Nothobranchius furzeri: one gene and its partner. The protein of the gene in region 2 interacts with the protein of the main gene of each other region in a biochemical or structural test. Links are inferred from orthologs where the notes say so. Each region holds a gene or a part of one and is shown on either strand. Other genes may lie near its edges. The genes, in order: mycbp and akap1b.

Region 1 (3,303 bases), on a different chromosome or scaffold from region 2:
TTCATGATGGAAAATAATGTCTTAGTGTTGCTGGAGTTGGACGAGATGAGACCGGAGTAATACTGTGATTTGGCGTAGGAGATGGAGTCCTTGTAGAGAGAAATCTGAGCAGAATATAAGTCTTTATGGATGGTGAGACCGGTTTTCCTGTAGAGTCTTTCAAGCCTCCGGTTGGCTTTCAATGAGCGTGGGGCAGGGGTGAACCATGGAGCAGACCGAGTGAAATATACAGAGCGGGATTTGATGATAGCAAATGGATTAAGGGTTGAAACCAGACCGTTATTGTACTGAATGACAAGATCATCGGGAGTAGAGGATAAATCTGGGGTCAGGGTGGCAAAGCTGGAGGAATGGGAGGCTAGATCAATGTCCTTAATATTACGAAATGAAATGATACGGGGTGACTTGATGACGGAGAGACGGAGGGGAACAGAAAAGGAGATGAGGAAGTGGTCCGTGAAAGGGAGCGGGTCAGCTGTACAGTTGGAGGGGGTCAGGCCGGAGCAGCAGATTAAATCCAGGGTGTGACCTTTAATGTGAGTGGTGGCAGGCAGAGTTTACAAACTACAGCTAGTTCATCAGAAGCAGATCTTGTTGACAATAAAATGGTAAGTATGGGAAATTTACAGGATAGGGGAAAACGGCTGGAAAGTGGAGTGAAATAAGGGGAGTTTCCTGCCAATACTGACATATTTCATAGCCACGTCTCTAATGTTTCTAAAAAATCAAACCGTATGAAAATCGGTTGAAAACTGAGAAAGTTAAGAGTTGTTTAAATAGTGCACGCACCACTAAACACCACTGTTAGAGGAGGGCCGCTGTCCGAAGTAAGATGGCCGCCGCGAACGGACGTCAGGGTCCATTGACGAACAGCGCGGGTGAGGGATCTAGCTAATATATATGATATCTATGGGTTAAAGCGCCGGACATTCCTGAACTCTGAACCCACGAAGACTGAAGGAACATTTTTTTAATTTAGTGCAATTCGCGTTATTCATGGCTGTACGTTAATCAAATGTACGATAAATCTACTGTAAAGTAAAAAAAAACACGTCCGGACTACGCTAGCAAACTATCGCGCTTTTGGATTTCTTCCATTTAAACAATTTATTTTAAATGTTACCGATATATCAGTTTTTTGTTACCTGGATGTAGAAATAAAAATTCGGCCAATCTGTTTTTTCCCCTTGTGTCACATGACGTAACCAGGAAACATTTATTTTTTTAAAGAGTTAGAAACATTTGTTTAGAGAACTACCAGCGGCATCATTTCCGCTTTACGTGCTGTCATGGCAACAGACCACCTGTTTGTGGACGGAAGTGCGTACAAAACAAGCTGCTGTGTGTTTGGGTCTGGAACCTATCTATTCATCTATCACCAAATTATAGGTTTTAACCGTCTCCATGGCCAACTATAGAGTGAGTAATAAAGAGATAAATATCGTGTTTATCAGAAATGTTTTACATTTTGTTCGTATTTGAGGTTAAACTCACGTAGCGTGTGCTAACTAGTTAGCATCCGGACAGTGAACGCACCATAGGCTCAGATGCTTCTCGTGTTCTGTTTAATGGTGATTTTTCAAACAATAAACGTTCATATTTTAGTTAAAAATTGTTAATGTGACTATTTGTTGGGTTACAGGCGTCCGAGTCAAAGCGAGAACAGTTCAGGAGATACCTCGAACGATCTGGAGTTCTGGACACTTTAACGAGCGGTGGGACATCCTAACGCCCCCTTCTTCCTGTTACCGTCACACACACGCGCTCATTTGTTCAGGTGGCGGGGATTCATGTGTGTTTCTGTTTTGTAGTCTTGGTGGCTCTTTATGAAGAACCAGATAAACCCAACAACGCCCTCGAGTATCCTTCGTTCTAATTATAGAAGATCTGAAGCACTTTTTATTCCAGACTTCAGAAGATTTGAACATTCCAGATTAATCATGTTAACTCGCTATTGCCAGTTATCATTTTCAGCTGAAACTGATTCAGTTGTTGTCCTAAAATAATTATTTTAAACAAAATCTTGTATGTTCTCCATTTTTGTCTCTAAATAGCTAAAATGACATTTGACCCTTCCCAGATTGATTGGCAGCAACAGTTGCTTCTCTAAAGTTGCTGCTGAGGGTTTTCCTCTTTCTCCTTACACACACCTGTATGCTCCGGAGCAGCAGACTGACTAAACTGCATCTTATAGCTCTGACTGACGAGGATCTGGACCTTAACCAGAGACTCAGCTTTATAAAACTCCACCTCGGGACATCGGGTCCAGAACCCAGAGACTCAGAGGCGCTTCGAATGGAGCTGGCTGATCTGCAGCAGAAGTGCAGCCTGCTCATGGAGGAGAACAAGGAGCTGAAGAACAGAGTAAGCATCCACAGGTCAGAGTTCACCCCGGATTCTCCGTCGGGAACGTCTGACGGTTTGTTTGTCTCACAGCTGATGCAGTACGAGACGTCGCCTGAGGAGAGAGCTGGAGTGTAGGACGGCTGCGGTGCTGCTTTTGGGGGTCCCGGGAAATAAAATCATTCATCACTGGCTTTTGTTTTGTGCAGAATGTAAATGTTTTATCATCACATAATCAACGAAGACAAAATCACTGTTCGTTTTTTAAATAACAAAACATTTGATCAGAAATTCATATTTTTTCACTTTTTTTAAAAATTCCATTTAAATTTTTCAGTCTTTCAAACTGAAATCTTCTGCATCAAGTAGAAAAATAGTTTCCATATAAAAACACCAAAACACAAAAGGCCATCAGCCTCTAAAACTGTTTAGGTGGATTAACTCACTGCTGAACTAAAAGTGTTTACATAACAACAGCTGACTGGAACACGAGCGATCGATGATTCGCTTTTCCATCCCTCCGCGTCTCCATCCTGCTGAATCGTTAAATGTCGATCTGGATGTCTGAGGCTGACCTGGAAACGCAGAGACCAGTTTCTCTCAAAGCTTTTGAAACATGACAGAAAACTACATAAAGCATCTTTTCTACTGCAGCCTGTGGTTTTTGTGTTTACATGTACAGAGCTGTGCAAAAGTCTTGATCCAGACCTCATCAGGAACACTTTTCATCAGAGGTTAAAAAGATTCTCCGATAAAAACTGACACTAAGAGAAAAATCAGCCAGAGTTCAAAGAGAGACTCCTCAGGAAGTCTGGAGAGCCACTGATCCAAGTCTGGCTGCGTTTGGAAACACGACACCAGAACCGGATCAGGACTTAACGGGTTCAGATCTGTAAGTCCGTCGGGGCTCGTCTGCTGCTGCCGCTGCTCGCCGCCGACGCTCTTCGGTTTGGGGAGGAG
Region 2 (3,820 bases):
AAACGTGAAACGTAGAGGCGACGAGGGGACCGTCCTGACCGAAGACTCTGCCTGCAGCACCTGCCACTCTGAGGACGGCGTTAGCCTGGAGGAGCTGCAGAGCGGCGTGTTGGAAAACCAAACGGACGTCCTTCAAGTTACAGACTTGTCGTTGGAAGCCGTGCAGCCGCTGTCGTTGGTGGAGGCCGGCCCAGCAGCCCCAGAGGAGAGCTCTGTGGATGCTGCAGGTGTCCTAAAGAGACTTAACGGGATTGGCTCAAGAAACGGGGCTCATGGGACATGTGAGGTGGACACCGATCAGTCTGGAGGTGAGGCTCGTCCTATGCTAACGGTGAGGGTGTGTGTCCTAGCAGCCTGCTTTAATGTGCTAAAGACGTGGGTCTGCTCTGGAAGTGATCGTACTGAATGTGTTAATCGGGCGACTATGGGCCCAGGTTCTGATCTAGAAGCTTCTGATCTTGTCTGACCCATAACTTCAGAGGGTTTTGCAGCCGGTTTCCTTTTCCGTCTCATCGGGCTTTAGCTGGGGCTTCATAACCCGACGCCCCTCAGGCGGTGGCGGACGTGGTTGTGAAACCTTCTCTTTGCTGGAGGTGACTAGTAGCTGGAGAAAGGGTCGAGGTGGACTGAAGCAGCTGTTGGACACACGGGGCTTCAGAAACGTTACCATGTCATAACAAAGTGTAGATTGTTACTGGTGAAGGTAAAATATTGGATGTGATGTGTCCAGGTTCTGATGTGAACAGTATGGACTCGGTGGACAGCGGCTGCACTATGGGAGCCTGTGAGGGCCAGGGCAACAACGCTGCCTCATCAAACTCTGAACTCGTTATCTGGGAGATTGAGGTGCCAAAGGTGAGTGACCCCGCCCCCGCGTGTCTGTAACGGAGACGCCGCCGGCAGAGAAACCAAACCTGCTTCTGCTGCTCTACGTTTTCTTTGTGGATGTCAGAGGAGTAAAACTGGTGTCGCTGGATTTTCCTCTCATGGTCCAAAGTGGTTGAGGACGGTTCTCATGAGCATTTCTTGCCGTGTCAGCATCTTGTAGGGCGGCTGATCGGGAAGCAGGGGAGATACGTGAGCTTCCTGAAGCAGAACTCTGGAGCAAAGATCTACATCTCCACTCTGCCTTACACACAGGAGTTCCAGATCTGCCACATAGAGGGTGAGTCTGCTGCAAGGCGCCCGTTTGTAGGAAAGGTTCCTCTCGGAGGTGGTTTCTAACGCTGCCTGATCTGTCGCCAGGTGTGCAGCAGCAGGTTGATAAAGCTCTGGCACTGATTGGCAAGAAGTTTAAGGACCTGGACCTGACCAATCTGTACGCACCCCCACCACCCTCACTCTCTCTGCCTTCACTTCCCATGACCTCCTGGGTGAGAAGGAGCTTCTCCGCTACACAGCTGAGTCCTCGTGCTGAGCGCAGGCTTCTGACGCTTTGCTGTTTGACCTCCATGTTTTTCAGCTCCTGCTTCCCAGTGGAGTGACCGTCGAGGTGGTTGTGGTGAACATCGTGTCAGCTGGTCACGTCTTCGTCCAGCAACACACCCACCCCACCTACCACGCCCTAAGAAGTCTGGATCAGCAGATGTTCCTGTGTTACTCCCAGCCGGGTACCCCCGCCCTGCCCTCGCCTGCTGAAGGTAGAACTTTTCTTTGGAACGTCTTCTCTACGGTGGTGAGATCTGTGTCGGAAGTTCTCCTCCTTCTCTTCCAGTTGGTGTTATCTGCGCAGCTCCAGCAGTGGACGGAGCCTGGTGGAGAGCTCAGGTCATCACCTTCTATAAAGACAGCGATGAGGTGGAGATCAGATATGTTGATTACGGAGGCTACGACCGAGTAAAGACCGACTCGCTCCGACAGATCAGGCAAGCGCCCTCCAGCTGACCTGTGGGCGTCTAGCCTTTGGGCTCCTGGTGCTGCAGCTTCATCTGATAACTCTGCACATTCACTTGTTGTGCTTCTAGCCTACTTGTCATCTGTTTCATACACATCAGCAAATAACACGATGCTTTCTCTGCAGGTCAGATTTTGTAACTCTGCCATTTCAAGGTGCAGAAGTTCTGCTCGACAACATCGTCCCTCTTCCAGGTACAGCTTTGTTTTGTTACGTGCTGAGTTTAGAGAGATCTTCTGGCTGTCAGAGTCGGAGACATTTATTTTATTGTTTGTTAAATCAAAGGGCCCCGCCCACTCATTCGCCCTTCCCAGGCAAGGTCAGCAGCACGCCATCACCGCCGTAAACACCATAAACTTCCTCAGATATCGGATTTGCACCAGAATCACCTTGAAACTTGTCCCAGGCCCGGCTTTGTTCCACTGCGACCCCTAACCTGTCAGCAGCCTCAGTCGGCCCTCTGGCCATAAAGACAGCTTGTCAGCATCCCTCACCTCTGGCGTCCGCCAGCAGGTTTGAGGGTTGGTACCGCCCACCCTGACCACACACACTCTTAAAGAAACGTCTGCTGATCTTTGGAGGCGTTGTGCTGGAGTTTCAGCTCCGTACGGGAAACGCTGTCAAACAAACTCACAACATAAAGGAGCTGTTCGGGTCCTTTCTGTAGTCTAGTAGTGGCAGTAGTTGGTCACAGAGGTGCCTGATTTTTTTTTATATATATATTTTTCGCAGCTTTTAGAAATACTTTCGGCTGATGGCCGATACAGAAAGTTTGAACATATCGGTCGGCCTCTAGCGCCGTGTTTAAGAGCAGATCTTTGGTTTTGAGTTCACCTCCGGTGCTGGTTTCATACACACTGATGTGTCATTCATCAGGAGAGGATCGTTTCTCAGCAGAAGCCACGTCGACGCTGGAGGAAATGACCAGAGGCGTGGCTTTACTTGCACAGGTGAGGCTACCTTCAACCCTGCAGCTCTCTCTTCAGAGAACCACCACCAGCTAAAGTCTAATGTCTGTTTCCTCCCTGCTTCCTATAAAGGTCTCAAACTACGACAACAACACGGGCCTACCACTGGTTCATCTGTGGAACATGGTGGGAGATGAGGTATGACGTTTGCATTTACTCTCTGTGTGTGGACTGTAAGAGAGCTGTGCAGGCGAGGGGATCAAGTTCCTCTGGATGTCGTAAAAAGGTTTTCGTTCGTGGTCATGCATACTCTAAAAACCCGTCTGATCACTAAGAACACATGTTAAAATACTTTTCTCTCCCTTGTCTCTACGAGCTCTAAGAACCATATGGGTCTCATTTATGAAGCCGTGTAGAGTCCTCACTAAAAATCTACTTAAGCTCGACACAAAAGCTTATTTATACAAACAAATGTTCTGATTCATAAAACTCTGCTTACGCACAGCTGCACACAATTCCTGCTTTATAAATCACACCTGTCCTAGAAGTGTGCTCAGGTGATTTTTGATCACACCCCACCCTCCGCACACCCACTTATGAGTGTTCTGCATACGAGTAAGCCAGGTAAGTGGCAGCTTTCACAGGTAATCACGGTGACTGCAAGGCCTAAAAACACCATTTCACAGAGACTGACGTTGATGTGCTTGTGGGTGAGCTAGAGGCTTGAGAGTGGTGGAGAGTTTAATGGTGAACGTCAAAAAGAAAACGTAAAAAAGGGTTCGAATGGAGGCAAAGAGGAAGGTGGCAATGTTCATTTCAGTGACGTATGGCATCTTGTACTTGGAGGTGTTAATACGGTGGTTCCCTAAGTGGTGGGGGTACAAATTCAGGAGGAGGAGGGGGGATGAAGTGTTTCTGGCTTCACTTGCACAGTCCTTGGCAACATGCCACCTGTGTGAGGTTGGTGTTTCTACTCTGGCATCAATCCTAACCAAATAAAGATTAACATGCCAGTCTA

What was found.
Region 1: the proteins of akap1b (region 2) and mycbp form a complex in vitro, tested with the Homo sapiens proteins (2 studies listed by BioGRID). The link is inferred for Nothobranchius furzeri from reciprocal best matches to the Homo sapiens genes AKAP1 and MYCBP.

The regions. Positions count from the first base shown.
Region 1 is NC_091759.1:25,188,447-25,191,749, forward strand, and holds mycbp (C-Myc-binding protein), read left to right. Parts: upstream 1-1,268; 5' UTR 1,269-1,404; coding exon 1,405-1,419; intron 1,420-1,642; coding exon 1,643-1,715; intron 1,716-1,811; coding exon 1,812-1,860; intron 1,861-2,234; coding exon 2,235-2,364; intron 2,365-2,436; coding exon 2,437-2,481; 3' UTR 2,482-2,537; downstream 2,538-3,303. Other genes in the region: gap junction alpha-9 protein, read right to left, coding at 3,228-3,303. UniProt on the Homo sapiens protein: May control the transcriptional activity of MYC. Stimulates the activation of E box-dependent transcription by MYC.
Region 2 is NC_091753.1:61,604,307-61,608,126, forward strand, and holds part of akap1b (A kinase (PRKA) anchor protein 1b), read left to right. Parts: coding exon 1-308; intron 309-730; coding exon 731-855; intron 856-1,038; coding exon 1,039-1,165; intron 1,166-1,245; coding exon 1,246-1,373; intron 1,374-1,462; coding exon 1,463-1,640; intron 1,641-1,714; coding exon 1,715-1,865; intron 1,866-2,020; coding exon 2,021-2,088; intron 2,089-2,770; coding exon 2,771-2,844; intron 2,845-2,934; coding exon 2,935-3,000; intron 3,001-3,820.